4 linked regions of the Lonchura striata genome follow. The protein of the gene in region 1 interacts with the protein of each later gene in a pairwise test. Links are inferred from orthologs where the notes say so. Each region holds a gene or a part of one and is shown on either strand. Other genes may lie near its edges.

Evidence for each region.
Region 2: the proteins of EXOC5 (region 1) and RAB14 interact in binary tests that used the Homo sapiens proteins (3 or more experiments, as listed by UniProt). The two-hybrid records come from large-scale screens. The link is inferred for Lonchura striata from reciprocal best matches to the Homo sapiens genes EXOC5 and RAB14.
Region 3: the proteins of EXOC5 (region 1) and EDRF1 interact in binary tests that used the Homo sapiens proteins (3 or more experiments, as listed by UniProt). The two-hybrid records come from large-scale screens. The link is inferred for Lonchura striata from reciprocal best matches to the Homo sapiens genes EXOC5 and EDRF1.
Region 4: the proteins of EXOC5 (region 1) and RAB4A interact in binary tests that used the Homo sapiens proteins (3 or more experiments, as listed by UniProt). The two-hybrid records come from large-scale screens. The link is inferred for Lonchura striata from reciprocal best matches to the Homo sapiens genes EXOC5 and RAB4A.

The regions. Positions count from the first base shown.
Region 1 is NC_134608.1:4,354,722-4,362,340, forward strand, and holds the start of EXOC5 (exocyst complex component 5), read right to left. Parts: upstream 3,222-7,619; 5' UTR 3,098-3,221; coding exon 3,071-3,097; intron 1-3,070. UniProt on the Homo sapiens protein: Component of the exocyst complex involved in the docking of exocytic vesicles with fusion sites on the plasma membrane.
Region 2 is NC_134624.1:9,483,312-9,491,012, reverse strand, and holds the start of RAB14 (ras-related protein Rab-14), read left to right. Parts: upstream 1-4,526; 5' UTR 4,527-4,715; intron 4,716-7,701.
Region 3 is NC_134609.1:29,692,461-29,700,605, reverse strand, and holds the start of EDRF1 (erythroid differentiation-related factor 1), read right to left. Parts: upstream 3,192-8,145; 5' UTR 3,097-3,191; coding exon 3,031-3,096; intron 1,420-3,030; coding exon 1,211-1,419; intron 1-1,210. Other genes in the region: TEX36 (testis-expressed protein 36), read left to right, coding at 5,397-5,444, 6,309-6,440. UniProt on the Homo sapiens protein: Transcription factor involved in erythroid differentiation. Involved in transcriptional activation of the globin gene.
Region 4 is NC_134605.1:43,369,559-43,377,481, reverse strand, and holds the start of RAB4A (ras-related protein Rab-4A), read left to right. Parts: upstream 1-4,692; 5' UTR 4,693-4,807; coding exon 4,808-4,838; intron 4,839-7,923. UniProt on the Homo sapiens protein: The small GTPases Rab are key regulators of intracellular membrane trafficking, from the formation of transport vesicles to their fusion with membranes.

The sequences.
Region 1 (7,619 bases):
TGGCAGAAATGTTATCACTCAGTAACTCCTCATGCAGACTGACTCAAGTAACTACTTTGTGCTCAGCCTCCTTGGCTACACTTTAAAAATAACTGGCTGATACCACATAAAAACAATTTCCCTACAAGTCACTCATCTCTTTAACCAAGTCCTTCCTGATACACAACGTGAAATTTCCTTTACAAGAATCCTCTTCATCAAAAGCCACAATGCCACGTTTCATGCCAAGTGTAAATTCCCTCCTTATGCCATCTTGAGATCTAAAAGTTTGGAACACTTTTGTAATTTAATTACAGGTGAAATGAGTCATTCAGTGCAGTAACATTCCATTCAGGGGAGGCTTCCAGCTTCCCAATTACCTCAGGGCTCTTTGCAGGACTTCTCCTTTATATGAAAATCCCCAATTTTTCCTCTGAAGATCCTGTAATTTAGCTGAGGTACCACTCTGGTTACAAGGATGCTAAAGCCAAGTATGGAAGAACCCTGAATAAAGGGTTTACTAACACTCTGTGTGTGCAGATAACATTTTCTACATTTCTCCCTTTCCCAGATGTTCATACTAAAAGATAATTCACCAACACACATATAATGGCTTTAAATATTTTTTCATTTTTGTAAAACAACACTCATAAAGTTTTTCTGCAAGCCTCTTCCCCTAAGGAAATCTGATGTAGATGCCTCAGAACCCAAAACAATATTATAATGCCAATCTTTCTCCACCCCATCATGCCTCTATATACCTCTAAATATTCCTTGAGTTCATGTGTACACAAACCTGTACCTCCTTTCCTGGAAAATACCTGATTTTTCAAGAATACTTACACAGGAGACCTGTCCTTCAGTTTTTAAATCATATAAATAGTGTTTTATATTATTTAAGAAATATTAACTGCAGTGGCTATTATGTGCAGGATCAACAGAGAAATAAAATGAGCTTCCCTTTTCAATTTTCTACAGAGGGTGTGCTAGAAATAATCTACTCGATTTATATAGAATAAATGAAGTTCAACAGTATCTTTCTAAGACATGATTTTCCAGGTTCCACTGCAGATCCAAAACTTCTTACTTTAGTTTGTATCTTCCATACACGTTTGCTTTTTTAAATGCTATCTTGATAACAGGGTTCCTCATAGCTGACAGCCTAACTCCTATTTTAAGTCCCCTATCCTGGTCTGCAGAAATTGCTGAAAATCAGCTATTACAAATGTCATTTGCAAGTCCTTTGCCTGTTATCAGATGAGCCCCAACAGTCAATTTCTCCAGCTTTGAACTTCCCTCTGGCTCCAGAGGAATTAATGTGATCCCATCCATTCAGCCAATACTCCTGATTTAATAAGAGATATGCCTGAAGTGGGTCATAACCTGGTTTGATCTGGTGTTTACAAATGAAGCTACACTGGACACAGCCAGTTTAAAAACCAGTTTAGAAGCATCCACTGTTAAATTATGCTTTAAGTTATGTGAGGGAGAATTCAGTCCATGTTATGCCCATTTTCAACACAGATCCTGCTGCACAAGTTCCCATATCTGTACTGAAATATACTTAAAACACACACTCATGAAAATATGGTAATCAAATTCCATCCTCAGCAGACAGCTAAGGGCTACTCCCATAACAAGCAGATTTTTATGTTTTTATATAAGGCAAAAATTTCAAACTAACCAAGTAGGCAACATTAAATTAGCGGACATCAACAAAAACTCTCTTGCCTTTGGAGTGAAAGTGAACTGAAAGTGGGAGAGACAGAAATACTGGATTCCATGTTGGAAAGGCATAATTTCTAGCCCCAATCTCCAGGCAAAAGTCTCACCTAATTTGCAATTTTATCTTTATTGCTATTGCAAAATGGAAAAAGCTGTTGCACGACCCAAATCAGCCAAAACACAGTTTTCTTTCCATATTCAAATCACCTCACACTCAACACCCCACAAAGAATAGAATGGCACTGTCATCATGTTGAGAAATCAAGGGGCTCCTAGAGTGGTGTAGGGAGGGTACAAAACCTGGCATCCAGCCACAGGAACACAGTATTTTAGTCCTGCTATTTTTTAAAGCTATGCAAACCAAAAGATGTGAGTCATAACACTCGTGTGCCATCACAATGATTCACAAACTCAAATGCACACAGTGCATTTACATGAACCCCAGAGATGGGTTCTTCCAGAGAAAATGGAAGACCCTTTCCTGAAGGCTGGGCAATGTGAGTCCCAATAATAACCCACCAGAAAAACAAACAGTTCTTGAGTGACTTGGAGAGCAAATACAGGACACCTGGGGATGACACCATGACACAGGGGTGAAGAGGAAGTGGGGACACCACACTTTCTGTTTAACACAGGCCACATCACAAGAGTTCATGGTCCAGGCCAGAAGCTGAAGCCACAGAATCACAGAAGGGTTTGGGTTGGAAGAGACCTCAAAGATCATCTTGTTCCAACCCCCTGCCATGGGCAGGGACACCTTCCACTATCCAAACCCCATCCAACCTGGCCCTGAGCACTGCCAGGGACAGGGCAGCCACAGCTTCTCTGTGCCAGGGCCTCAACACCCTCACAGTCGAGAGTGGTAGTATTCTAATATCCAGCCTTTCAGCTTGAAGCCATTCCCCCTGTCCTGTCACTACACATTTCTGTAAGAATTCCCCCTCCATCCCTTTGGCAGGCTCCCTTCAGGAGGGAGACGATCCTCGTGCATCCCTTCCAACTTAGGGCATTCCGCAATCCCACGGGAAGAATCTGACAGACTCCTGCTATTCCCGTCCTGCTCCTGCGTGGCCTTGGCCGAGCTATTCCCCTTCCTCGCCTCGAGTAAAGGGAGGGCAAACTCTTTATTCCTTTATTCCGCTCCATCCCCGCCGTTCCCACCGCGCCGGGGCCGGGCAAGGCAGCGCGGGGCCGGGCCCGGCGTGGCCGTGCGGCAGCGAGGCGCTGCAGCGGGGCCGGGAGGGCACCGCGCCCCGCGGGGCGGCACCGCGGCTCCCCAGCCCCGCGCACCGCCCGCCCTGCCCCGCCGACAGCCCGCCGCGTCCCCTCGGCGAGCCGGCCCCCCGCCCGCGGGGCCCGCACCCACCTCGAAGAGCTCGGCCGTGGTGGCCATGGCCGCAGGGAGGGAGGGAGGGAAAGGGAAAGAGAGGGAAGGAGGGCGGCGGCCCCTCAGCGCCCCGTGGCCGCCGCCGCCCCGCCGCTGCCGCCCATTGTGTCCCCCCGCCCCGGCAGCAGCAGCGGCGGCCGCGGCGCCGCCTCCGCCCGCCGGAAATGGCGCCGCGCCGGGCGGCCACGGCGCGGCCGCGGCTCCTCCCCGGCCGCCATCGGCACCGCCGGCATCGCTGCCACCATCGCCGCCACCATCGCTGCCACCATCGCCGCCACCGGCACCGCCACCGGCATGGCCCTGCGGGCGCTGTGGCTCCTCAGGCGCGGCCGGCGGCGCCGTGCTCTTCTCCAGGTAGCGACGGTACCGCGGGCACGGCGAGCTGGGCAGTCCGAGGGTCGGGCTGGGGAGTCCCGGTGATCTGGAAGGGATCCAGGTGCTCTGAGGGATCCGAGTGCCCTGGAGGGAAGGGTGTTCTTGAGGGGAGCGGATGCTCTGGGGGGTCCGGGTGCTCTGGAGGGAGGCGGGCGCTCTGGGGAGAGCAGATGCCCTCAGGGGGCGCGGATGTTCCTGAGGGGGGTCTGGGAGTCTGGAAGCTCTGAAGAAAATCCTGATATCCTGGGGGGATCGGGTGTTCTGGGGGTCTGGAAGCCCTGAAGAAAATCCTGATATCTTGGGGGGATCGGGTGTTCTGGGGATCTGGAAGCTCTGAAGAAAATCCTGATATCCTGGGGGGATCGGGTGTTCTGGGGGTCTGGAAGCCCTGAAGAAAATCCTGATATCCTGGGGGGATCGGGTGCTCTGGGGGTCTGGAAGCCCTGAAGAAAATCCTGATGTCCCGGGGGGATCGGGTGCTCTGGGGGTCTGGATGTTCTGAAGGAAATCCCGGTGCCCTGCGGGTTTAGGGTGCTCTGGATGCCCTGAAGGAAATCCTGGTGTCCTGCGGGGATCAGATGCTCTGGGGGTCTGGATGTCTTGAAGGAAATCTTGGTGCCCGGGGGGATTGGGTGCTCTGGGGGTCTGGATGCCCTGAAGGAAATCCTGGTGTCCTGGGGGGATCGGGTGCTCTGGATGTCTGCAGAAAATCCTGGTTCCCTGGAGGGATTGAGTGTTCTGGGGGTCTGGAGGAAATCCTGGTGCCCTGGGGGGATTGGGTGCTCTGGGGGTCTGGATGCCCTGAAGGAAATCCTGGTGTCCTGCGGGGATCAGATGCTCTGGGGGTCTGGATGCCCTGAAGGAAATCCTGGTGTCCTGGGGGGATCGGGTGCTCTGGGGCTCTGCAGAAAATTCTGGTGTCCTGGGGGGATTGGGTGCTCTGGGGGTCTGGGTGTCCTGGGGGGACACTGCTGCCCTGTGGGTCTAGGATGCTGCCCCCAAAACGGATGCAAAAACCACCAAAACCATCTGATACTGAATAAATTCCTCGTCTCGTGCCAGCGCCGCTGGATGCTGTGCATTTCTGACTCCAATTTTAGAAAGTTCAGAATCAGAGTCACATAATGTGCTTTTAACTAAATATGGGAGCTTTTTCACAGCTTCTGCATTTTGCATGAGTTTCCTTGCTCCGTTCCTCTTTCTTTTTTGTCACTGTAAACATTTTGCCCAGCTCTTCTCCTTCCTAACATGGTAAAGGACAAGGCAGTGATTGTGAAATACTGTCAGATTAACAAAAATGGGCAAAACAGATATATAAGCATATATTATTGCTTGTATTTTCCTTATATTTTTTTCATGTTGCTCTGTAGCTGTAGGTAAAATAGAGTACTTTCAGACAGAAATTCAGCTTTCTGTTTGATGCTAATTTGTGCATATAAACACTTTTTTAAAAAGTTATTGGGGGATTTTTAAGTTATTGAATACTAAAGAGTTCTCCAAAGGAACAGTTTTTATACAGAATTCTTGCAGATATAAAGGAAGACTTTTGGCTTAGCGGGTTACTGTTATTGGGCTGGCAAGATTTGTTACCCTTTTTGTTACTCTTCTTCTGTGACTTCAGAGAAAGCCAGATAATGAGAAGAAAAATAACTGGGGCTAGGGAAAGTTTGTGGGGAAAAAAAAAAAAAAGTCCTGGATAAAGTGACCTACAGTCCTAGTCTGAATTTAGTAAAAGCAAAGAGAGAACTTAGGAGTAAAAATAAAAAAAACAACTATCTTCCATCTTCAGGTGCAGACAGATCTCTCCATTGGACACTCCTCTGATTGTTTTAGGATTAGTATTATGGTCCTTGTATTACCTACAGGACTAGAGATGAGGCCTCCCCTCTACAAACACAGATAAAGAGAAAGCCTTGTCCCCAAAACCTCGGAGAGTGTAATCACCACGGAGCAGGGGGGGCTGCTGACAGGGGTGTCTGAAGTGACTTGTCACACAGTGAGCGGCAGAGACAAGGAGTAGCACTCCTTTGAAAAGGGCAAACTATCCTCGATGCTTCAAGTGATTTCCAGACTTAGATCTTTCAAGTTCCCAGAGGAAATAATAGGGCTGTGGAAGCCCCAAGTTTATCCTCCTAACTGACCTTAAATTCAACAAAGCACGCAGACAATATAAAGAATGCCCGGATCACATGGAAACTGTTGGTTTCAGGACTTAGGCACTCAGCTGGAGATACGTGAGCCCTGATCTTTGACCTCAGGGAAGACATCGGGGACATCAAAGCATTCCCCCTCTTTTTTTTTTTTTTTTTAGCTGATCATAACTTAATTCAGGCAACAAGGATGGTCTCCCTCTTGAGTCACCGAAGTTCATTCATCCTTGGAAACTTTTGTCTTTTTTATTTTTTTAAGTTTGCATCACTTTCTAGAAGGGAATACTGAAAAACGGGGATTTGAAGGGCTAACTAATGATCTAATGACTTCAGTGGGAGGAGGAGGCTGCTGTGGTGTGGGGACAGCTTCAGCAAATGCAGCAGAGAGACTGGGACTTGACTAAGACAAAACCAGACTGAAATATCTCCTCTTCCCTTGTTTTGGAAACGTTGGCCAAAAAGAAGAGCTGCTCACCAAGGTTGCACATAACCTCTTATCAACACCCTGGCTCTGCAAAGCCTCATAAATTTTATAGCTGTAAACCCACTTGGTTTCTTTGCTCTTCACAATAAAATGTGGGACCACAGGGAGGTGTTTTGCTGTCATCTGTATCCTGTTTACGAATTTTGTCGCTGTGGCTTTGCCCTGTCTATGTTTAGACAAAAATAAAAAAAACAACCCCAAAAGCCCTTGATGCCTGATTAGGAATGAAAGAAAAAAAAATCACAGTCACGGTAAATAAGCCTGAGGAAGTGTAGTTGCCTCCAGCTACTCAGTTAAGAGAAAATGATGTAGAGCACTTAGAGGCAAGAGGATAAGATCCATGGAAGTGCTCAGGAGCAGGAGGGAAGTGCTGCAGATGGAGGTCATAGATAAAACAAAGTCCCACGTTGCTGGGATTGCAAGTTCCATGGCAGTTTGGAAAGCAGGCTGTCAATGTGTCCTAAAAAAGACGGTATAAAAGGGACAGCAAATGAGAGCCTTTATATATCTGTGCAGTTTTTTTCTTCCATGTTGGCATGCAAGCCTGGGTCTGAGTGCAAACAAACATCTGAGAACATCTGCTTCAAGATGATCCATAAAGTGATTTAATTTTGTGTGTGTGACCTGTGAGGGGCACTTTGAGGGTCTGTGGATAACTACTGAGGGAATCCACAAAACAGAATGTAGGAAAGCCAGGCTGTCAGCAAACTTCATGTAAGAGACACTCAGGGGAGTCTGCAGTTCCAAACCAGGGCACAACCAGTGCAGTCATGGAAGTAATATTTTTTTATTTTCTCAGCTATTTATTAAAAGTCAACTCCTTAGTTCCTCCTTAGGCTACCTTGAAAAGAAATTCATCCCACTCCCCTTTAAACAACAATACTGCAGGACATAAAAATCCCAGATATAGTTTTAAACAGTTAATATGATATTCCTCAAATATTATCTCTAGAAAATTTGAAATTAAATATATGTATTGGTACAACATAGCAATTCTAAGTTGTACAAAACCTCTGTCCATGACATTATTGTTACATCTTAAATACTTGATAAAATGAAATTATGAAAAAGTCATAAAAGCTTTAAGTCACATATATTGTATGTGCAGTGTGGAGTTATTATTGTTATAGCAGCAAAGCTGTAGCACTATCTACATATAGTAGACTCTATATCTAGGCAAAAAGCTGTTGTAGTTGCATTTTGTTACATAGAACATAAATTTTCTTAAATATCTGAGAACTTGTCTTCAGTGTGATGTCACCTCTTAGAAATATTTTGAAGTTCTGCACTGGTGGGAGTCATACAAAAATCCTGTACCCTTGTGTGACAGCATAGATGGACATATTCACACTTAGTTTAAAAAGTAGGTATTTACTCATGAGAATGTATTTACTTGCTGGAAAGAATCCTAACTACTCATGGAATGGTTTTATTGACCGTGATTCATGTTCCGATCCCACCACTGCTTCTATCAGGTTGCTGCAGGCTTCCACGTACACGAGCTTATTTGTAGGCCCGG
Region 2 (7,701 bases), on another chromosome or scaffold:
CATCTGAGAGCGAGTCAGACATCTCCAACCGCACTCAGAAACAATAGAAATTTCTAACTCCTTGCCTTTTTTATGGAGTTTTTCCTCAACACTACCAGTGAGTAGTGGTAAATCTAAGCCAGGCAGGCAGGCCACAGCCAGCTGTTGTTTTCTTTCACTCTCTCCATCATGTAATCGGAGAACTGTCTTGTGCTCTTGAGAGGAGCACTGTACCGAGACAGTGCCACCCTGCAGTGGGTTCTCACAAAAATGGTTTCTATGCCACCAACAATGCCCCCAGTTGCTGCTGGAATTGTGTGGAACAAAGACATGGTTATTCACAAAGCCAGTGGTGGGTATTTCTCCTCTGTCATGCCTATAACTGAAGAAGTTTTTTGTTACGCTTTTGTGTATGAGAACATTATTAACCAGAACATTTTAGGTGGGCTAAGAACCATCTGCCAATTTGATTCTGAAGTCTGGGAGAGCTGTGCATAACCAAACCTTTCATTAAATCGGGAACATCCTTTACAGAGGCACTGACACTGCACAATCACACAGTAACTCATCTACTTGATGTTCTGCATCATGTTCACATCCTATCATGCATTTGTAACATCATTACATAGCTAAACCAAAAATTCTTCACCTGTCCCTCAAATATGATTAATGCAAAATGACTTAGCCCTTTGAAAACACTGTGTTCAATTACTTTAAGTGCTGTTAAATTGCAATGTTTCCATGGAAATTTTAGGTCCCTGTTTCCACTATTCAGCTGGAAATGCAGCTACCCTTGTGCTGTTGAGGATAGAAAAGTGACCTTGGCATGCTGAAGCATTAGAGGGAGTTTCTTTCCAAGAAGTAACCTCTCAGTGCAGAGAGTGAGATCTGGAACCACACAGAGCAGAACCAAGAGTCTCTTGGTGTCAGAAATCACTGTGATTGATGAGAAGGACAGAAAAGTTTTTAGGGAGCCTTGTGCTGTGGCACTGCAAAGTCCTTCAGCAAGGAGACACCTTGAGGTGGGGCACAAACCCCTCCAGGTTGTTGCTGTCAGCTCCAGAGGTTGCTTTCTGTCCAGAAGCAGCTCTGTGTGGATCAATTCCTGCCTTGTGCAAGATGATTGACTCACAAAGCCTTTCACCACTGCCAGGATCTGGTCTCTGGGCATGTTGTCCTGTCAGCCAGGAAACCACAGCACTTGCATGCCTTTGAAAAGCAGATGCTGGTATTTTGCAGGCATTTCTATTGCTACAGTTTGGTTTTGTGCTAAAATATAAGCTACTTGCTAAGGACCCATCGAAGTATGAATGCTTGAGGATTACGCTCAAGGGATCAGAGTTGAAAGGTGAACTCCAAAATAAGCCAAATGAAGTCAGTAAAGCTCAGATTTAGCTTCAGTCAGGATAGAAGGAGTCATGGTGAGCACTGACCCATCAAGGGAGCTCGCTGCTGTATGTATTTGGAAGTATTCCTCAATATTAATGTTGAAGTTCCTGTGGAAAGGGGTACACTTCAATTCCATACTGCCATTCCCACAAAATATTGACAGAGAGAATCCAGCTGAGCTGCATCTACTGACACCAGAATTACCATTGGCCCAAATGTTCTTCTATTATTAATCAATTTAATTTGAAGCTTTGAGGCTGTACAAGTGCCAATGGGCTTGGACTGCCTGTTTTACATGAGATGAAGGAACTAAAAAAGATAAAGAAGGAACTAAAAAAAAAACCTTGACCACAGGAATATTTCTACAGACACCACAAAACTGAAATGGTAAGAGATGAAAGGAGAACTGGGCAACTCAAAAATAAAATACAAGTAAAGACCAGTTAGTCATCTGTGACCAATCCAGCGTTACGTGATCGACTCCCACAGACGTGCATTTCAAACTAGTTCCTGAAAAATCTTGTGTTTCTCCCCTCTCTCTGTCTAGAGAAACTTGAGCAAAGCCAGAAGATGAAGCTGGGGTTCGGGGGAAGATGACAGACAGAGAAACCTGACTTTTTATTGCCTGTTTGTGGCCTGACAGTTTAAATTCTGACAGTCTGGCCTGCTTACTGCTGTCCTTAGGGAAAAGAGTGTTGCAGACAAAAATTCCATTCAATCCCACACTCTTAATGAAAGCTGATGTGTAATTTAATTATATTTAGGTTTATTTTCTTACAAGGATGCATTCTAAAGAAGGAAGCTGATCCTACAGATCACTCTGTGTAGTTTATTTGCAAAGAAGAAAATCCTCAAGCCTTCTACCAACTGCATTAACTCAGTCTTTACTTTTCCTGGAGTTTGTGGTACAGAAATAAACCCAAGAGCAAGGCTCATGTGACCAGAAAATTTGGATGCTGCTCCCTCTTGACAGAAAGAGACACGTGGAAAAGGCTTTTCAAGAGTGGACTGACCCAGCAGAAATCCACAGGGAAGGGTGGGACCACAGAGGAGGATTCCATCCCTGGCAATTTGGTATTGTTACCAATTTAGTGGGTTTTAATTACTGTTGTTAGGTTCTGTCCAGATGTTCACAATGAATGGGCTGAAGTCAGCCTTTTCTCAATAACTGTTGTTGAAAAACTGCTGCAGGCTTTCAAGCACTCACAAGAATAAAGAACCAAAGAAATGCAGATGCTGTTACTCCATCCTCCTCGCTCATGTCTTCTGTTAACTTTAAACTTTGTAGGAATATTTGAGCAGAGCATATAAAAGCAGGAGCTTTGAAGCAAATCTGTATTGCCTTTTACATCACCTCAGAAAGGAAGGCAGTTTTAGATAAAATATATTTGGGAATTTCCGTTTAAAAGCTAAATCTTGCTCACATTTAGATAATGGCTTTTCATTTTGTTGCAGGTAAGAAACAAAATAATTCTATCCCCAAACCGCTTCTCATTTCTGTTCACAATTAAATAAACCAGGCTCCAGATTAAAGGGATTTTCCGAGTTGTTGAGTAATCCTGAGGTGTCTCCGTGGGCTCTGCAGGGGGAAGTGCCACCCTGTGACTGGAGAGGCGCAAACCCGAGGAGCCTGTGCCTGCCTGGGGGAGAGGGCTGGCTGCAATTCCCCCTGGAAAAGAAGCTGCAGCTCCAACCAGCCACTCCCACCCCGGGCAGGCTGTGCCCCCACTGCCCTTCCCATGGATGACAGCAATAATTACCTGTATGATTCCCTCTTGTAAAAACACGCAAACTCACCCTGCCTGCCTGACGCTACCAACACTGAGCCATAGATAGAGAAATCCTCAATGTATTTTGGTGTGTGATATCTGAACGATTCTGAATTAGAAAACCTCTCATTGCAGTGCCTGTGTTAACAGAATAATATCTGGGACAGTACCAGGGAAGTGTGCTTTTCTCAAGTCAGTAAACCAGACTGCAATTGTGTCACAACAGTCAGGTCATTTTCCGTTTAAAGACTCCCTCTCGTGGAAATCATTCTCACTGGCTCGTTTTGACCTATTTTTCTAGCAAAAGTCACTCCATATAAGGTTCTGCAAAACTTGAAAAGGGTTCTGTTGCACAGTTTTGAAGTTAGAACCCTGACAATAAGTGACAGGAGTCCTACATCTTTACTACATTGCCAGCAGATTTTGTATTTTTCTGTTGAATCTTTGCTTTTTATCACTCAGAGATTTGTTTAGCATGTAGATAAAGGGGAAAAGAATTCTAATTGTTTTTCTTCAGTGCTTTTTACTCTATGAAGTTTCTGCCCAGATAACAGGGAGTGTTATCTACCATGCAGTTTCTCCCTGGCAGAGGTTGAGTAATAATTAGGGGGTGGCTGATTCATGGAAAGCAGAGGATTCCCTGGCTGTTGCTCAACTAAGGAAATGGAATTAGTAATGTCACAGTAATGGAGATGGAAAATGCCCATGTGAAAATAGTTCCATAGAAATGTTATGGCAGTGGGGAAGCTGAAATTTAAATCTTGGACAGTGACCCACAGCAGAATCTGATATTTGCTGTAATGTTTGGAATTGAAACAAAATCCTTATTGGGGAAATTTATTGATATACTTTTACACCTCCCGAACCGCTGATTTATTTTTTAAATCCCGTGAACTGTGAGATTTGGGCAGTACGTTGCGCTTTTAGGTCTTGAGGTTCGCATGCCACGAGTGTTTAAAAAGCTGATTTAAATTATTCAAAGGCCAAATGAACACCTTCGAGCATTTCACGGGACGTTGCCAAGCACCGGGCGCTGCTCCTGGAGACAGACGGGGACCTCCGGAGCCCCTCAGGGCGCGACATCCCCGTACCTGCGCCGCGCCGGGCCGTGCATTCTCACCATTGCCCCGCGAGCTGGGGGTTCCGGGCGGGTCGCTGTTGGCTTCCGTGCCGTTTTCCCGGAGAACAGCGCGGAAATCCGGGATTTTCCGCGGCGCCGGCGGCCCCGCTCCGCCCTGAGGCGCCGCCGCCGCCGCCTGAGGGCGCGCGCGCCCGCCCCGCCCCGCGCGGCCCCGCCCCGCGCGCGCTCCCGCCCCGCCGCGCAGCGGCCGCCGTGATTGGCTGCGCCGCGGCGCCCTCGCGCCCACTCTTTGTGCGGCCCCGGCGCCCGTCGAGAGTGGGAGGGGAAACCCCGTGCGAGGGGCGCCGCCATCTTGGCTGCGGGGGTGATGGGGGCGCAGCGGAGCCGCGTCTGAGGCAGCGCAGCGAGCCCGGAGCGAGCCGAGCCACACAGCCCGCGGGGGCACCGGGCACCGCCCGCACGGCCGCGCTGCACCGCTCCCTGAGCCCCGAGCACAGGTACGGCGCGCCGGCACGGCCCGCCCGGCCGGGCCGCTGCAGCGCCAGGCCCCGCGCCGCGGCTCCGCGGGCCGGGGCGGGTCCCGGTCGGCCGCGCTCCGTCCCGGGGCCGCCCCGAGGCGCGGCCCGGCGGGCCCGGGGCCGGCAGCGAGGGGAAGGGGCGGCCGGGCTGAGCGGGGGGAGGCTGCGGGCAGGACTAGGCCGCTTGGCTCTGTGGCACCGCCGCCTCCCAGCGCTCCTCGGCACCGCCGCCAGCAACACCGGCGATATTTTTATATGTGTGTTCTGTATCTCCCCCTTACGAGCTGTTGCAGTTGCACGGAGGGTGTGTATGTGTGTATTGTGCCGTGTATGTGGCCGATGTGCAGCGTTATCTCTGCTTTTAATTGTTCTATTGACCTGTGCCGTCATGAACTTTGACAGAAAAATAACTTTGAGGGTTGAGGGAAAAGCCACTTCCTATTTGAGAAAGCAGCGAAAGTATTCTAGACTGTTTTTTTTTTTTTTTTTTGTCAAAGCTTATTGAGGCTAAAGAGAGCGAAATTATTTCCTTTCCAATTGTTTATTGCCTGTTTGCAGCACACGAAGTATCCACAACATCTGTTGGTAGCTTTGTCTTGAATTGGAGTTGTGCTGAATTATCGTGGCAGTAAAGCCAGAGAAAGGTGGGTGTCTGCACTGGAGTGCCTCTGGAGGTTACTCGCTGTGGCTTTTGCTTTAAAACAGGGTGGATCTGTGTTGGGATGTTTTTCAGAGGTGACAGAGCCCCTTAGTGAACAGGATTCCTCAGGGTGGCTGTGTCCTAAATCCCAAGTCACATCTTTTACAGGTGTTATCCTGTGGAGTGTATTGCCTGGGATTGATTCCTGTCCTGGTTTGGACTGCAGAGCCCTTGTGCTTGGGCAGTACTTGCTGATGGGAAGAAAATACCTTGGGCAGCTTAATTACTAAATGTCACAATTTAATGTGGTTTATAAAGGAATTTGCTAGCTTCCTGTAGGGATTTAAAAATGTCGTAAGTCTGAGTGCAAGGAAGAAGTTCTCTTTTCCATTTTATGAGTAACAAAAAAATGAGGAGTTCTTATGAAGGACAGCAGTTTGGAAACAAACCTGTTCTACTGGAGTTACTGGGATGTAAAATGTAAATAATACTTTAAAATTACCTGCTCACTTCTGGGCATCTAATGAAACCTGATTAAGATTGATTCTCATTTTGCTGAATCTTCCTGAAACAGGAGGTAGCTCTTAGTTAATATTTACCTAAAACGTCTGTGACTTGTGTTTTCCTAGGTGGTGACTCCAGAGTGTTCTGATTTATTGGAATGACAGAAAACTCTTCTGGTTTTCTATATTCTGTCCCAAATTTACCTCTGGACCTTGGTTCTCCTGCTGGGAACAGACATGCAACAGGTTGGAGTGTTCTGTAGGAAGAGAAGAGTAGGATAAGTGAGGAAATACAAGTGGATAAGGGGTGGCTGTGGGGAGGGACATGGCAGAAGGTGCTCGAGCTGATGAGGACGGGTAGGCAGTGATTAGTTCAGCTCTGCTGCTGGGGTGTGGTTAGGGAGAATTGAAGTGTGCATGTATAAATGCAGGAAGCAAAATGGAGTAACTTAATGAAGCAGGATGTGAAACCAGCAGAATGATAACCAGGACAACGTGGATGTGACTGGAGAGCTGGTGAGGAAAGTCAGAAAGTGAAGGTAGTGTGTTAGGTAGCTTTGATTTAAAAAGAAAAATGAAGCTCTCCTGGAGGAAGGAGAAGTGAAGGCCTGTGAAGCCTTTAGAAGAACCTCCTAGGCCTCAGGCTGGGCTAAGGTGTTTGATGTGATTAGGGAACACAGCAAATGCATTTCTTCAAGAACAGCCTGGAAAGGGCTCTGCAGGGCTGCAGTCTGAGCCCCAGAGCCTGCAGGCCTCGTGTGCTCTCAGGGAAAGAGTAACTGGAGGTGGGAGTAGTAAGGAAATGCAAAGTGATCCTGGACAGCAGCTCCCAGAGGCTGCTGGGTGAGCAGAGATCAGCTGAGCCAAATTTCCTGTCTTGTGCTGATTGGCTGCTTTGGTGAAATCCAAGAGGGGGAAGCAAGGGAGGATGACTCTGGAAGAGCTGAGGGATGAGTAAGGAACTGGCCAGCAACAAGTGATGTTGTCAGACAGGTGTGAAGGCTGCAGCAGGCTCTGAAACTCCTCAGGAATCAGGCTCAGCAGGGCTTTGTAAAGCCAAGCCTGCAAAAATGAATAAATAAGCAGAGCACAGTGGCTGCAGAGCATCATCTTAAAGAGGGCTGAGATGTTGATGTGGTTGAGGAAGACCTGAATGTCCTTGGTGTGTGAAAGCCAGAGAACCACAGTGGAATTTAATTGTAGCAGACCTCATGGAGTGCTGTGGACAACAGACCTATGGGAATTCAGTGCTTTGGTGAATTAATTGATAGCAGAGCTGTTGTTACCTTCAGTGTGCTGTTATCTGACAGGTGACCATAACTGAAGCACTCACAGACTGTTTCTAGTAGCCTGCTGAGGTCAGGTACCAGTTGAACCACATTGTTCTGTGTGCTTGACAAAAGTCTTATCAGGGGAAAAGTGCAATTACAAAATGAAACAATTCTACCTCTTTCCAGCTCCTCCCCCTTACCAATCTTATTGTTGTCTGTTAATTAACATCTAAATAATCTACAGATTCAACTGTGAGAGCTTTTAGTACTGCACATCCTTGGGGAATGATGCACAGAACACCTGGCTGCCCAGAGAGACTACAAAATGCTTTTTGCTTCAGAGTAGCTCCCAGTGGTTCCCTGGCTGCAGAGTTCTGTCCTTTGCAGGGAACCAGGAACAGCTGGGCAGTGCTGAGTTTGGAGGTGGTAGTTTTTTCCCCAGCTCTCATCCCTGCACATGGACCATCCATCAGCTGGTGGAATGAACCACAGCAGTATCTGAAAAGCCCTCTGCATGCAGGTTCTGGTCTCCCTTATAACACACCTGCTTC
Region 3 (8,145 bases), on another chromosome or scaffold:
AATATATCTTTGAAAGTGCTTAGACCTAATTTCAAGACATTCTATAGCACTTAAAGATTTGTTGAAATAAAGAAAAATCAGAAAAAAATGAAGGATTCTAACACTGAAGAGTTCTTCAAGGAGTTTCTCTTTAAGGCATTAAGCATATTAAAGACTTTCATTTGAGTAGCTGTAATTGAATTTTACCTCTTATTCACATTTTCCAGAATTGCCCTACATGTTGTAACAGACACGTTGTCTCTTCCTCCACCCTCGTTAAGGAAATTACAAAGTACTTAAGCTGGAATATTTCAATGTACAGATCATTCTTTAAAACAAATCCAGATACTACTAAAATCCAAAACATACATGATGTGTAAGTTATACTTTTGTTATCAGCTTTTTAATACTGACAATAAAGAAAGAGATTGAACTGCCAGCCTCTATTTGACAACCACAATATCTAAAATAAACATGAAAAATTCATAAAGACCTGAAAAACGTGTTACTCTGCTCTGAAAAGTCCAGCTCCTAAAAGAGATGATGAGGATGCAAACACAGACCTTGAACAAACTGTTAAATTTCACTGACTGCCTGACTTGGTGTGAATTTGCTTGTTCAGCACAGGATTTGAGCCTCCTGTTTATAAACACTCTGAACTCAATTCAGTCAACAATTCAGCAAACATCCACACTGAAAGGTAACACTGCTTCTTGGGCGTGCCCCTCATTTCACCTATAGTGTGATAGAAAGATGAAATCCTGATATAAATGTGATATTTCATTTGCCATTAGTCAGGTCCACTTTCTAAAGATCCAGAAGAGCTATAAATTGGTTTCCAAGGGGAACCACACGTTCTATTTCACCTGTTAGCAAAGGCAGAAGGGCTGGCTGAACCAGTCCAGTTTGATCTGGGCCAACCAGGGAAGAACAGAAAGTCAGTTTGACTGTCTGAGGCAAGGTGTCAAAAGGCATGTGAACAAATAAACAAAACCATCTCTATGTGTTATGTAAATAATCAACATCATCAATCATTTACTAATGACACAAGATCAGACCACAGAGGCAACAACTCCAGATGAAAAAGTAGAGGGAGAACAGTTAAGACAAAGCAATATTAGTTGCTATGGTTAAACCTGTACTTTCTACTTTAAATGACATAGGATCCAAGTTAACAATCACAATAGCTCTTAAAGGCCTGGAAAAAAAAACAGGGGCTGCTGTTATTTACCTTGAGAAGGGTTTACTTTTCTTGCTGTTGCCCAGAATGGTTGTCCCTGCTGGTCCCAGTTTGGCACTTTCCCGTAACCAGTTGGCAGGAGGCAGCTTCAGGTCTGTTTTCTCCTGCAGACGGGCAAAGGCTGCTTGAGGAGGGGCTGAGGAGTATTTCACCACAGCACAGCTCTTCACCTCATTGCCTCCGAGGAACAGCACCGAGCCCTGATTTCCAGAGAGAAATTAGCCTTCTACTTAAGTGTTGGCAATTAAAACTATCAGGCTTGTTCTGTAATAAGTTATTTTTAAGGCTAAGTGAGCAAAATCCAGTCCTATATTCACTTACCTTTCCCCAGCACATACAGTTTTCCAGTTATTCCAATTCATGTCAAGCATAAGCTTCACTTTAGGAATTATCACAGAATCACTTAGGTTGGAAAAGACCTCCAAGATTATCAAGTCCAATCTGTGATGAACCACCGCACTGTCACCCAGACCAGAGCACTGATCAACACATCCAGTCTTTCCTTGGACACCTCCAGGGATGGGGACTCCACCACTGCCCCAGACAGCCCGTTCCAACGCTTGACAACCATTTATTTCCATGAAAGAATTCTTCCTGCCCACCCTGCCCCTGTCCCAGCCTGGGGCCGTTCCCTCTGCTCCTGTCCCTGTTCCTGGAGCAGAGCCCGACCCCCCGGCTGTCCCCTCCTGGCAGGAACTGTGCAGAGCCACAAGGTCCCCCTGATCCCCCTTTGTTCCAGGCTGAGCCCCCTCAGATCCCTCAGGAGTTCCCAGCCCCTTCCCAAATCCCTCAGGAGTTCCCAGCCCCTTCCCAAATCCCTCAGGAGTTCCCAGCCCCTTCCCAGCTCCCTCAGGAGTTTCCCAGCCCCTTCCCAGCTCCCTCAGGAGTTCCCAGCCCCCTCCCAGATCCCTCAGGACCTCTCCAGCCCCTTCCCAGCTCCCTCAGGAGTTCCCAGCCCCTTCCCAAATCCCTCAGGAGTTCCCCAGCCCCTTCCCAGCTCCCTCAGGAGTTCCCAGCCCCTTCCCAAATCCCTCAGGAGTTCCCCAGCCCCTTCCCAGCTCCCTCAGGAGTTCCCAGCCCCTTCCCAAATCCCTCAGGAGTTCCCAGCCCCTTCCCAGCTCCATTCCCTGCGCACACTCCAGCCCCTCATTGTCTTTCCTGACCTAACAGCGCCAGAATCAATCCCAGAATTTGAGGCTGGACCTCGGCAGTGCCCAGCACAGGGGGACACCCCTTGCCCTGGTCCTGTGCCACACTGTGGCTGATCCAAGCAGGTGACAGTGGCCTCCCTGCCCACCTGGGCACTCTGAGAATGAAGTGTCACCAACGTCAGCTGCCACACCACACAAAATAACTCAGAAAGGCTAAAACAAACACATCTCCCACTAAAGTTTGTGAAAGTAGGTGTATATTAACACTAATATTAAAGCTAAACAGGCTTCTACCTTACTATTATTAAATAATAATAAATTAAACAAGCTTCGTGTTTGCCTACTTCTTTTCAAACACGCAGCTGTCACCCGTGTGCGAGGAGCTTTGAACTAACACAAGTCAAGGGAAAAACAGCTCCACAGGACACCACTTACGTAAATACGCTGCACTTAGGCATAACAACAGCAACACTGCTCGCAATTAACGCTTAATCATAATTAGCGTGTTCCCTACAGCACTCCGGCCCTGACAAACTGGAAAGAGGACCAAAAACACCGCTTCAATTAAAACACCCCCAGGGGCCGTGTCTGTAGCCGCCGCTCGACCCCCTCACAGCCCCTCTACCTCACCCAGCACGGCCGCCCCTCAGCGCCGCCCACCTGCTTGGGCTCCTCGGCGTCTCCCCTCAGCGGGGCAGGGGTGCCCGCGCCGCAGGGCTCCTCCATGGTCCGGGAATGGGGCGGGAATGGGGCGGGAATGGTCCGGGAAGGGGCAGCGGGAGCGGAGCCGCTGCCCGGGGGGTCCGGCCGGGAGCCGCCGCCTCTCGCGAGACTTTTCGAGAAGGCGCGGGAAGGGCGGGCTCTGAGGGCGGCGCCGTGAGGGGCGGGCGGTGCCGCCGTGAGGGGCGGGCTCTGAGGGCGGCGCCGTGAGGGGCGGGCTCTGAGGGCGGCGCCGTGAGGGGCGGGCGGTGCCGCCGTGAGGGGCGGGCGGGAGGCGGCGCCGTGAGGGGCGGGCGGTGCCGCCGTGAGGGGCGGGCGGGAGGCGGCGTTCCCAGCGGGCTCGGAAGGTGGTTGATGTGGGAAAAACCTCGTCAATTACATCAAAGCGAGGAGTGTCAGGTCCAGTCGTTCCTTAAGCACCTCCAGGAATGGGGCTCCACTACCGCCCTTCCAATTCTTGGCCACCCTTTCCATGAATAAATTTTCGCTAATTTCCAATCTAGACCTCCCCTGGCGCAGTTCGAGGCCCTTCACAGGTGAGCCAGAAAGTCCCCCCCGAGCCTCCTTTTCTCCAGGCTTGACTTTCCTGGATAACTGGGACCTTAATGAAACAAGTGAAAACTTGGTGGTGGGGTATCTCAGCATGGGAGAGGATTGAAAATTGCAGTACACTGTACACTGAGTTCAACAAAAAGCTGAGCTGTGATGGCTTCAGTAAGTAAGTAATTCCTAAATAGTGCACATGGCATTTTTAATACCTATTATTTTCCTTGTAGATGGCATTCTTCATTCTCTAAACCACGAGAGGCAGTATGCTTCATGACTGGTCAGGGAGTACAAATGCTGACTTCCTCTTAAGTTATATCTGTATCTATAGCCACATGTGCCTTAATATATATATATATATACATATATATATATATATATATATATATATATATATATATATATATATACAGACATATATATACACACACACACACACACACACACATATATATATATATATATATATATATATATGTATATATACGGATATAGATCATGGAATTACAGCATGGTTTGGGCTGGAAGGGCAGGGACACCTTTCCCTGTCCCAGGCTGCTCCAAGCACTGTCCAGCCTGGCCTTGGACACCTCCAGGCATCCAGGGGCAGCCACAGTGTTAAAAATAGGTTAGAAACTATTGTAAAATGGTTGATATTTGTTAAGCATGTACTATTAGTTTGGTTATGGTAAAAGGGGTTAAAAGGGTAGTTATAAGAAATATGGTACTCAACGTACCATAATACACCTAAATAAAGTGCACCACCCCAGCCTGGACAGAACTGTGATGGGCCAATCAAGTGGCTTAAACCTTCATGCAAATTAAGGATCCAAAAAGAAACCAATCCAAAGGGACAAAAAACAGGATAAAAAGGGTATCTGCTCCACTGAATTTGTGCTGCTCCACCTGAAACGTCGGGGACATCGCTGCTGAGCAGACCAGTGCTGGCACCGCAGCATCCTCGACGGGATCGCTCCTGCTCAGCCCGTGGACCCCCTTGCTTCAGGCCTTTCTTTTTATTATAATAAATGCTGAAATCGCTTTCAGTACCGGGAGTGTGCTCCCGTTTTTAACAACAGCTTCTCTGGGCACCCTGTGCCAGGGCCCCACCACCCTCTCAGGGAACAATTCCTGCCTAATATCCAATCTAAACCTAGTCTCTGTTAGTTTGAAGTCAAAAAGGACACAAGTGTCATCTTTACAGTCTGTCAAGGCCAAGGAGGCAATGTCTTGGTTTGTGCTACACTGGCCAAGTGTGCTGCAGTTAAATAGTTGGGATGTTTCCAAGCCACCGCTAAAACTCAAAAGCAAAAAAAAATTCCTTAACACGCAGCCAGGTTTTCTGTAGATATTGGGTGTGTGTTCAATTAAGATGTGTGTATGTGGAAAGTCATTTTCAAAAGAGCAGGAAGTTGCATCTTAAAATTCTATCTCTAACGTCCTTCGGGTTTTCCTCAAAACCAGCTCTCCTTCCCCCACCCATTCCTATTCAGGCTGTGAAGTGTCACTGAAGTGATTGTGCAGAATTGATTTGTTTTCAACATTCAATCCTCTGACGAGCTGTTATTTCCCTCTTCCTTGCAGCACACGAGCGGGAGCGGCGCTGCCCGGCGTTTTTGGTTGTGTGGATCTCAGTGAAACACCGGGGCGGCTCTGAGGTCACAGGGGAGGGTTCCACACCCTGCCCGCTCCATGAGCAGGTCTCCAGGGAACCGCGGTGGCGCCGGGAGAGTGACCGGGAGCGGCAGTGACATCGAGCCATGGCCGAGGACAAGATTCAGCACAGCGCAGGGCACAGTAGCGACTGGGTAAGGGCCAAGCAGGTGCCCCCGTGTCCTCCGCAGGGCTTCTTGATCCTTAAATTCTCAAAAAAGCACCATGCTAAGGGTGACTTTGTCCTTTACTCAGAAATAAGTCTTCCTGTTCCTGAGGTTTAAAAGGAAAGAGTGTCCTCTGTCTTTAGTGTGCAAAAGTTCTGGCTTGTTAAGTAACCCTGGCTGGATTTCCACACCGCACCCCCCACCCACCCACCCCGTTTTCCAGCAATTCTGTGGGTCTCTTATTTGATAGTTAGTCCTGGTTGTTTTTCCTTCTCTTCTGGAGAACTGGTCAAGGCTTGCCTCAGTTCTTGCCTCCAGGAGAACACTGATCCCATCAGAAACGCTGGGCTGGGACATCTTGGCATCCCAGGGCACTGTAACACTCCTGGCACAGTCTGTTCCTCACTCTGAACCCTTTTGCCTGATACTGGGTTGAGCTGTTCCCAAAAATTTTGTGCTTTCAAACTTGCACTACAGTAGGAGTAGCATGGGGGATTGGAAGGTCGTTGTTTTCCTCGGTGGTTATTGCTGTGTAAACACTTTTCAGAAAGTTCCTGGATAGTCTTGTCTTAAAGAGTCCTAAAATTCTTGTCTGGTTATTTTATCTACGTTTGAAGGTCTTTATGGTAAGGTTTGCGTTGTGGGTGTGCGAGGCTCCTCATTTGTCCAGACGCCGCTAGGTGCTGCTGCAATCCAAGTAATAAAAAGTGAATGGGACAGTATCATTTTGACCACATTTCTGGTCAGATTTATTTGTTATTTAGGTTTTGTTGTTTGTTGTTTTTGTTTGGTTTTTTTTTTTTTTTTAGTTGGCTTTTATTTTAAAGGGCCATAATCCTCATTATTTTCTAGTTCTCTCACGATGTACTGGAGGTGGGCGAGCTGGAATCAACAACAAGCGCTTCACTAAAGCATGTCCTGAATTCCGTAGCCGCTGTGGGCCAGGAACACAGAATGCCGCTGGAATACAAAGCTCGGGTGCAGGTGAGTTCCTGCGGCAGCACAGCCGATTTTCGGAGCTCTTTTGCAAGTTGTCACTCGCCAAGTTGTGAGTAAGAACAGCACTCAGGGTCGTAAGCGGAGCAGTCACAGCGGGCTGGCAGACTTTGTGCCTCAGGGGATGGAGTGATTGCTGCCTGTGCTGTGGAAGAAACATATTTCCCTGTTACTCACTCATAATTTTAGTTGCTCAGAGTCCTGCTGTATTACTGCTGATTTTCTCTTATTATTGAGACACCGAATACATTATGATCAATCTCAGCCCACAGCCTGTGTGTAAAGCCCTGTAAGAAGGTTTAATGGAAATTTGATCAGCTGTTTGGCAATGGATGTTGGAAATTCATTATATTCACACAAAGGAGTGTTCTTTTTATAATTAAAAAGTTAGACGCTTCTGATTTCAAACATTTTTAAGGCTTCATTAAAAATGAGATTTGTGAAAAATTTTGGGATGAAAGGAATTACAGTATTTTAAAAAATACTGTATTTAAAACATTACAGTGTTGTAAGCACCTTTTCATGTCCTTATTTTATCATCACACTGAGCTTTGCTTTACCCACCTGCTTTAGGAACAGAACATTTTTTATTTTCATTTTCTATAAGCACAGCAATTGCAGTGGGTTCATGTCACTGGTTTTGCCATAGTGAAGGGCAGAAATTAAGGGCTTGGAAGGAATATTTAAATGGGAATCTTGGGGCTACGAAAAGGAGATTATTCTGTAACAGGAGTATACACTGTGTTAATATTACATCTACCTTCCTGTGGAACATCTGGCCTTAGCCACTGCCTGAAAAGGAGAACCAGGGTAAAGGGACCTTTTATTAACACCAGTGTGACTTCATCTGAAGTTGCATGTCTTATCTTTACCAGCCCTCCACTTTTATATAGAGTTAGGGAAATTCTTGCCTGTTGTAAATTGAGAATTAATCTGAGATCAATGGTGAGAACACAAAGATCCACTAAAGGCTAAAATGGCACAGTCTGAGGAAGTTTGTTTAGGCACTGGTAATAAACACTATTCCTGAAATGTTGACATTGACATTTAGTTTCAGTAGGATATTTTAGGAAGAAATTTACAGACTCAGGAGGTGCTTATTTTTAAATACATGTGTGAGAATGTATTTATTGAATTGACTTATTCCCTGAACTACAGTCTGGATGAATCAGTATGAGACAAGAGAACTGGTGAATATACCTAAAAAAAGGAAGAGAATCTGCCTACTAAACCAAATAACCTGAGATCTGACCGTGCAGCTGACCCTGTGCAGGCACATTTTGTGTCTGGTGAATCTTGCTGGATCAGGCCTCCAGTCACATTGATCCTTAGAACTCACTCAGGTTCCCCTACTCTTGACACACCTCTTTTACACTGTGTTACATTAAAACTTGCTGTTTTGCTTATCACGGTTGGGATATTGCACTGATATATAACAAACATTTAAAGAGTCAGATATGTTATTTTTTTTCTAAAATAGCTCTTTTCGAGTTGTCTTTTGTTTCTTCTGAAACTCTAGTTTCATTTAGAGACTGAATGAACATCATGTTAAAGAATGAGATTATAAATTAGTTAAGCAATTAATACCTCTTCAACTTCCCCTGCAACAAGCAGTGTCCATGACATTCAGTTCATAAATCACAGGCTAATTCAGTTTTGAGGTCCCTTTTGTAGTTTATTTTAATTAGCTTTA
Region 4 (7,923 bases), on another chromosome or scaffold:
TGGGTTGCTGGAGTCGCATTCATTGCTGCTTCAGATCAAGCGGCTCTTACATATGCTGGGTTGCTTTCCATATTCGGCATGCAAGCAACAGTGAAGAGCAGCAGAATACATCATCCCCGTTTTACCTGAGCATGCCAGGTTGGACTGCGAGCCACACAGCCGCAACTAACAGAGACAACAGCAGCGTCCGGCCGCTGCAGTGCCTTCCACACAGCCTTGTGGTGCCACCTTCAGACCAGAGCGAGGCATCCCTGCCGCTCCCTCGAGGAAAAGCCCATCCCATCCGCAGCTGCTCTCCAGTCCCGGACTGCCGCCTATGACGCTGTTGAGGCAGGACGGGAATGAGATGACTCCGCTCAGAAGGCGAGAGTAAAACTCTGATTTATTTCAAAATGCATCGCTCTTTATAGAGAGCTTCATCCAGACCAATTCCATTGGTCCTGAAGTGAAAACAACGCACACCATTGGTGCAGAGTGCATGATGCACAGTGGTAGAATTTAACTATAAACAATGTGAACAACAAGAGAGATAAAGAATCTTATTTACATTCTTTTCCAATAGATGCCCAGGCTTCTGCCTGGTTAGAAACTCTCTGTTTCTCTCTTTGACTGAATCTGAGACCAACAGCCTACGGTGACGGTGAATCAAAAACACAGCCATGCTTCAGTTACAAACTGAACTTTGTTACCTTGCATTAAAAAAAAAGGAAAGGAAAAGCAAAAGAAAACAAACGGATCTGCCCCCTTGCAGTGCTAGGTCATTAAAAGCTGTGTCGAAATCTGTAAATCCCCGAGTCATATTATTTTATTTTGGCAGAGACCTCACACATCCTGAGTCTGGCTCCCATGAGATCTTGTGGGTCCTCTTCCATTCCTATTATGGTACACTGGTCAGTAGAAACTAGTAAAAAATGAGATTAGAACTTTCAGGGGAAACTTAATATGACCTCCTAAGCAGCAATTTTACAACTGTAACCAGTTAAAGGCACAGTAACTGTGGTGAAAAAATTTGAGATAGTGCATGATGTACACATCCAATTTGACATAACACATCTCTTTTTGCATAAACCAAAATTTTCTAGCAGATGTGATCAACAGAAATCATGTGAATTAAACATTTGGCATTGGGGTTTTTTTCACCTTTATACTTAAGATAGACACTGACAAGGCCAATTCTACCTACTCATTGTTTATTACTCAGGAAGAATGATTTTATTAATATACAGGCCTGACATTCTCAAGTTACTGAGGTATCAGCTATATATTTTCTAGCCTAGTGCAGTCTTTATTATTTCTGAATTTTACTATTTGTTCTAATTTAGTCTTCAAGGCAAAATTTCTAAAATACCAAATCCTATTCATCTCTCATGTTCTCCTGTGTTTGCTTTAACATTCTCCCAGCCTTCACTTTCCTCTTTAATATTAAATGTGGAGTTGCGTTATTTGTATGTTTTATTATCCCTGTATTATGTATTGGTTTATTCCTTTGTACCCCCGCGTGCAACTTGGTTTATCCCCAGTTTTCCCGTCTTGTCCTCCCTTCCCGCCTTTCCAGTATCTATCCATCACCCTGAAAGAGGCATTTTACCCCTCCCTGGTGCCTTGTCTGTCACTCGGTGTCCCTTCCCATCCATCCAGAAGCTTCCACCTTGGGCACCGGGTGATTGGGTGAGGACCTGGGGCTCCCCCCATATCCTTCCCCCATTGGACCCCATCATATCCCCCCATCCCGGAGCCACCCCCTATCCCTATCCCCATTGGTCGTTGGATACCCCTCCCTTACAGTTTATAAGCCAGTGCAAGCACCTTGTGCTTGTTCCTGTTGGCTGGCACCATTCTAGGATATTTGGCCCCGTTGGGCTACAATAAACTCGGACTTAGCCTCCAGCAGGATCCGCTCTTCATTTACCACCGCGAGGCTTGCTAGCGCTGCCCGGGACCCACAAAGGCACTCTCCAAACCCCAGCTGGGAGCGGCGGAGGGTGCCTCAATCTCCCACTCTCGCCCCAGACTGAGAGCTAGCCGGGGCGGAGGAAAAGGGAACCGGGGCGGGAGCGCGGCAGCTAAACTAATAGCTTTTATGGAAACCTTTACGATTTTGATGTGTTTTATTGATGGGTGCATATAAAATTCTCAGGAGTGATTGGAAGCAAAGGATTGTGGTATTAACACAATTACACATCAAAAAAACTCCATAAAACAAAGTCACCTTGCAAGATACACAAAATAAAAAAACATGACTAATTTATCCCTTAACCTAAAGTTTATACAGTGCATGAGGTCTAAATCTCCTTGTTCTCTCATATAACATGGATGTAACATGACATTTTTAGTAATCTAGTAAAATCTGTTTACTTCAGCATGTTTGGGGATTTCCTTTGGTTAAGACATTCCATTTGGGTTTTGTGTTTTTGGGGGTTTTTTTTGTTTGTTTGTTTGGTTGGTTGGTTTGTTTTTCTGAGGGTGGGGACAGGGAGGGGGGTTGAGCAAAAATAACCAGCATCTATCAGGAATTTGCTGATGTTAGACCAAACTTCTTTAAATCCCAATCTGAGCCTCAGAATGTACCATTTTGGGGGACAGCTTTCAGACACAAAGCTCACATCTGTGACATACTGGGGTCTGTTCAGCTCATGTGAAGGCTCTTCAGCTTTCCATGGCATTTTGGAGAGCAGATGCCCAGAGAAACATTCACATGTGACATCTTAGGCCTCAATATCCTCTGTACATCAGGGCTGTGCTGACTTTGGGGACCTGTTTATACAACCTCCAATTACTGTTAATAGTATGAATTCATTAAGGAGCTGGTTCTTTGAAAACTGTGGTGAGTTTCTTTGTCTGTTTGTACCCACAACAAGAAGAATAATCAGCAGATTCTCTGAGGGGCTCTTGGTGCTGGCTCAGCTCATGTTGTTCCACTGATTAGAGATGGGAACTTAAAAGCTGACTTCTGACCAGCTAAGGACTTGGCAAGGAGGTGGCTGGAACAGGCAGAGGCAGTTTTTCCTACAGCTTAGGAGATGAAGGAGAAGTGGAAAGGATGGGAAACTGTGAGCAAAACCACAAAAATAACAGAAGAAGAAATAAGAGTAGAGGAAATTTTTTAAGGACTGGAAGAAAGGAAAACGTGGAGGACAGACAGGAAATATAATTTAGGAATCACATAGATAGAAAGGCTGTTGTGGTGGGAGCTGAGGTGCTCTTTGCTGCCAGACTAACCCGGGGAGTTAAGACATGCAGAAAAGAGTAATACAGGCCAGGCACTGCTGGTATCGAGCCCCTGAAGATTTGAACTAAACTTTGCAACTTTTTTTGTTGTTATCAGTAGCTATAGCTGCACAGTTACGATTAAGCAATGGCACCGTGAACATTGTATGCTCGGCTACTCTTTTGTAATGAGGAAAAGGGAAAGCAATGCCAGGATGAATGGGCTGTCTAGACGACAGCCGGCAGGAGTGCAGTCGGCAGGACTGAGCAGGACCTGGGGGAAAGGTAATTCCGGCACCGGGAGACCACGACCGCCGACTCCCTGACCACCTCCTCACAACCGACCCCAGCCTCGGCAGCAGAGCAGAACTGAGCCTGCGGGCTACTTACCGTGAGAAAGGAGTGGAACGAGATAATAGGGGTTGAGAACTAATTCAAAGAAAAGTGATGTAAATTGTAACCAAGGAATGCTGACGCCTTTGTTTGTTAAAATGTAAAAACAGCAAAACGTTTCTGTGAGCGGGGAGCCAGCCTTTCGTGGGCCACCGCCCGGCTGCCCTGCCTGGCAGGAGCTGGAACAACGGGCGGTGTGCTCCGGGGTGTGCCCCGCTGTGCCCCGCTGTGCCCCGCTGCGCCCCGGTGTGTGCCCCGCTGTGTGCCCCGCTGTGCCCCGCTGTGCCTCGGTGTGTGCCCCGGGGTGTGCCCCGGTGTGCCCCGGTGTGCGCCCCGCTGTGCCCCGCTGTGTCCCGCTGCGCCCCGGTGTGTGCCCCGGTGTGTGCCCCGGTGTGTGCCTCGCTGTGCCCCGCTGCGCCCCGGTGTGTGCCCCACTGTGTGCCCCGGTGTGTGCCCCGCTGTGCCCCGGTGTGTGCCCCGGTGTGTGCCCCGCTGTGTGCCCCGCTGTGCCCCGCTGTGCCCCGCGGTGTGCCCCGCTGTGCCCCGCTGTGCCCCGCTGTGCCCCGGTGTGCCCCGCTGTGTGGCCCGCTGTGTGCCCCGGTGTGCCCCGGTGTGCCCCGCTGTGCCCCGGTGTGTGCCCCGCTGTGTGCCCCGCTGTGCCCCGGTGTGCCCCGGTGTGTGCCCCGCTGTGCCCCGCTGTGCCCCGCTGTGTGCCCCGCTGTGCCCCGCTGTGCCCCGCTGTGTGCCCCGCTGTGTGCCCCGCTGTGCTCCGGTGTGCCCCGCTGTGCCCCGGTGTGCCCCGCTGTGCCCCGCTGTGCCCCGCTGTGCCCCGGTGTGCCCCGCTGTGCCCCGCTGTGCCCCGCTGTGCGCGGTGCCGCGCACGGGTCCGGCCTGCCCGCGCGGGGGGCGCGCCGCAGCGGCCGCCGGCCCCGCGAGGGCAGCGGGCGGGGGCGGCCGGGCACGTGCGCCTTGTTTGGGGGCGGGGCCCGCGGGGGGCGGGGCCGCGGCCGCGAGCCGCCCCGCGCGCGCGGGGGAGAGGCGGGGCGCGCGCGGGGCCCGGGCGCGCCTGCGCGGCGGCGCGGGGCGGGGCGGGGCTGAGCCGAGCCGGGCCCGGGCGGCGGGGCCTGTTGGGTTCCCTCCGCCGTCAGCGCCGAGCCCGGCCGGGGCGGGCAGCGAGCCAGCGGCGGCGGGGGTCACCCCTCCCGGGATGTCGCAGAGTGCCATGTCCGAGACCTACGGTAGGATCCGGGAGCGGGGTGAGGGACCCCCTCTCCCTCCTCCCCTCCGGGGGAGCGGGCCCGGGGCCGGGCAGCGCCTCCTGAGGAGCGGGGACGGAGCCGGTGTGACGTGAGGGCTCCCCGGGCTCGGGCCGGGCCCCCTGCCCGCCGCTGCCCTCAGCCCGCAGCGCCTGCCCCGCCCGGGGTCCCGGCCGGGCCGGCAGCAGCGCTCCGAGCCGTCCCTCGGGGTGAGCAGGGAGCGGCTCGGGCGCCGCTCGCTGCTCCGGGCGTCCAGCAGGAAACTCGCCGGGAGAAGCTGCCCCCTCCTTCACTTGGGGACGGCGGGTGCTTCTGCGGGTCAGGTTAAGGTTTCGGTCCTGTTGTCGTAGACGTGCAGGCGTCAGAAACAGTTAACTCTGGGAGTGAGTTGAGGGGGGAAAAACCAGTCGGTATGTTCGTATGTCCCTGTGCTGGCATGGGTGTCTGACTTCCACTGTTAGGAAAACATCTGATGGAGTAAGTCGGAGTGCAGGCACTGACTGGGTGTGTCCAGTGTCGCCGGGAAGCATCAAAGAGAAGTGAGGAGTCAAAGAGGCGAGCAGAGCTGGTATTGCTGGCTAGGTGGAGGAGATGAGAAGCAACTGAATAGTATTAATTTATTTTCTTTATAATTTTACTTGAATCTCTGCTTTGACTATATTTCTTTTCTACCGTATCCATACCATACTGTTTTATAATATTTTCCAGTATAAAGATGCTGTTGTACATATGAACATACTCTAAAGCCATGTGGTAGGTTCACATTCATAGTCTGCGAGAGTAGGATCAGAATTGAGTGGAGGATAATTGAGTAATCAAAGCAAAATTGGACACAACCATTCTGGAAATTGTTTTGGAGGCTGGGATGTCCATCAGGAGTAGGCCAAGTGACCTGATTGTTTCTACTGTGTAATTTTATTTTCAATACTTTAGTCATCAGTGTTTGATGTTGTGTCCTAATGGTCATTGCTTCAGTGTACAGCAAATGCACAGAACTAAAGGGCAAAAAGCCCTTCAAGTGCCAACATTAAGATACCCAAACCCTGCTTCTTTTGTCCATCTGTTCTAGAAACATGTAGAAGTTACATATAGAAACCAGAGGGGTGTGCTTTGTCCACCTAGATTTGAGTTTAAACAAATTCTTCCTGCTCTGTACTCCTGTGATCTAGAACTGGAATCACTTTGGCTATGCTTATGGTGGTCTCTGAGAAAGAGTTGGTAGAAAACCAGATATGACAGCATTTCATTGGTGCTCCTCCTTTCATGCTGTAATGCTAGGTAAGCCAAACAGATGATTGGTATCTTAAATCAGAACATTGAAGTATTTTTTGCATTGTTCTTGTGATGTAGAATAGGGATAGTAAGCCCACTGGAGCTGTTGATACTTTCATATTATTTTGGTATCTGAGAAAACAAGCCCTTGAAGCTTTGTAGCTGTGGGCTGGTCCTGTTATTTGTTTAATTCTTGTTTGGTTTATTACCTTTTGGAGTTTCCGTGTTTGTTCTTATGCACACATAGGCTACAAAAATTTCAAAGCTAGAAGGCTGGAGAGTGTCAAGTTCTAGAGAACACAGAAGAATAAAATCTAAGTTATAGCATAAGGTTTAACTAATAGCTCTTCAATCTCTGACCGTAACAGTAGAGAGTAGCTAATTTTGCAGTATCCTGTCCACCAATGTAGCAGTCCCATTGACAGATCAAAGTTAGCAGTACCATGTGATTAAATTATGGATCTCCAGCGCTTGATAAACTCTCTAGATTTAATATGCTCACTGTCCTAACAAAGAGTGGTTTGTTGCTGACCAGCTGTCACAATGGCCATGGAGGATAGGAGAAGTATTAGGTCAGTTTCCTCCTGGTGACTGAGACTAGGGGTCACTGTATTCCCCTCCTGGAATCCCTGTAGCTTGTAAATCCTTAAATAATTAATTAGATTTTTCTTGTCACCTGAATTATGACCCATTCTAATTATGTAACCTCAAGCTTTTTATCCCACACATATAGGCTCAGGAAACTGGTTGGTGCTTGTGTTGGTGTTTTTCTTCACAATGTCATTTTGCTGTCTGTCTTTTATTTTATTTTAACTTTGCTGTGAGGCTTTAACTTCTCTTTCTGTTGAAAGAGGGGGTTATTTTTTTCATTAGTTTTCTCAATCCATAGGGAATAAAGAGCCTTTCCATTGGCCACTGCTGTTAATTTCATGTCTCCTGGGCTTTTTTACCTCCTTTAGTTTCTTCATCCATGTCAAATTCTGTCTTCTCTGAAGGTTTTCTGTTCACTCACTTTTCAAAACTTGTTCTGTCCATTATTGAGATTCTTGTCTCTTCCCTGTTTTCAAACAAAGTTCTGCAGCTTCTCAGCCTTGACACTAACTTTTGCTTACAATTCATATTTTCACTCCTGTAAATCTATTACAACAGTTGTGTATCTTCTGTTCTTAGCTTTCTTCTCTGTTCAATTATTTGTGTTCAATTCAATATCTATTCAATTCTTATGTGTTCAATTTATTTCCCGTACAAAGGGCCAAAACCAAACCAAACAAGAATACAAGACAACTCCATGAATTTTGAGACTGGGTTTAGAAAGAAGGTTTTCCTGCTGCTTTGGGGAGAAAAGGGTCTTTCTTTTAGAAGTTTGACATTTAACATTTGAAACAGATCTCTTATTCATAGGAAAACTCTTTTAACTCAAGTTTTCTGAAATGTAATGGCCTTTCTGTAGATAATTGCCATATAACAAAACATGCATGTTTTAGCTTGCTTCCCAATGCAAAATATACATGTTTTTATGGTAAAGACAGCCTGACAGAAAGTTGCTTACCCGTAATAAATAAATGCAAAGCAACCTTTGGATTTAAAATGGTAGAAGGATGGAAGTTGTACAAGCATTGAATAAATGCAATGTGTAAGATTCAAGTCAAATCTCTTCACTTCTTCATTCCATGTGTTTTTTCCACCAGCATCTACAAATCCCAATCTGGTCACATAAATTTACCAATCTCTGTCATTGGCAGAGACTGTACAGTCTTTCCATCCATTTGAAAATAATTGTTTTTGTCTGGACAAT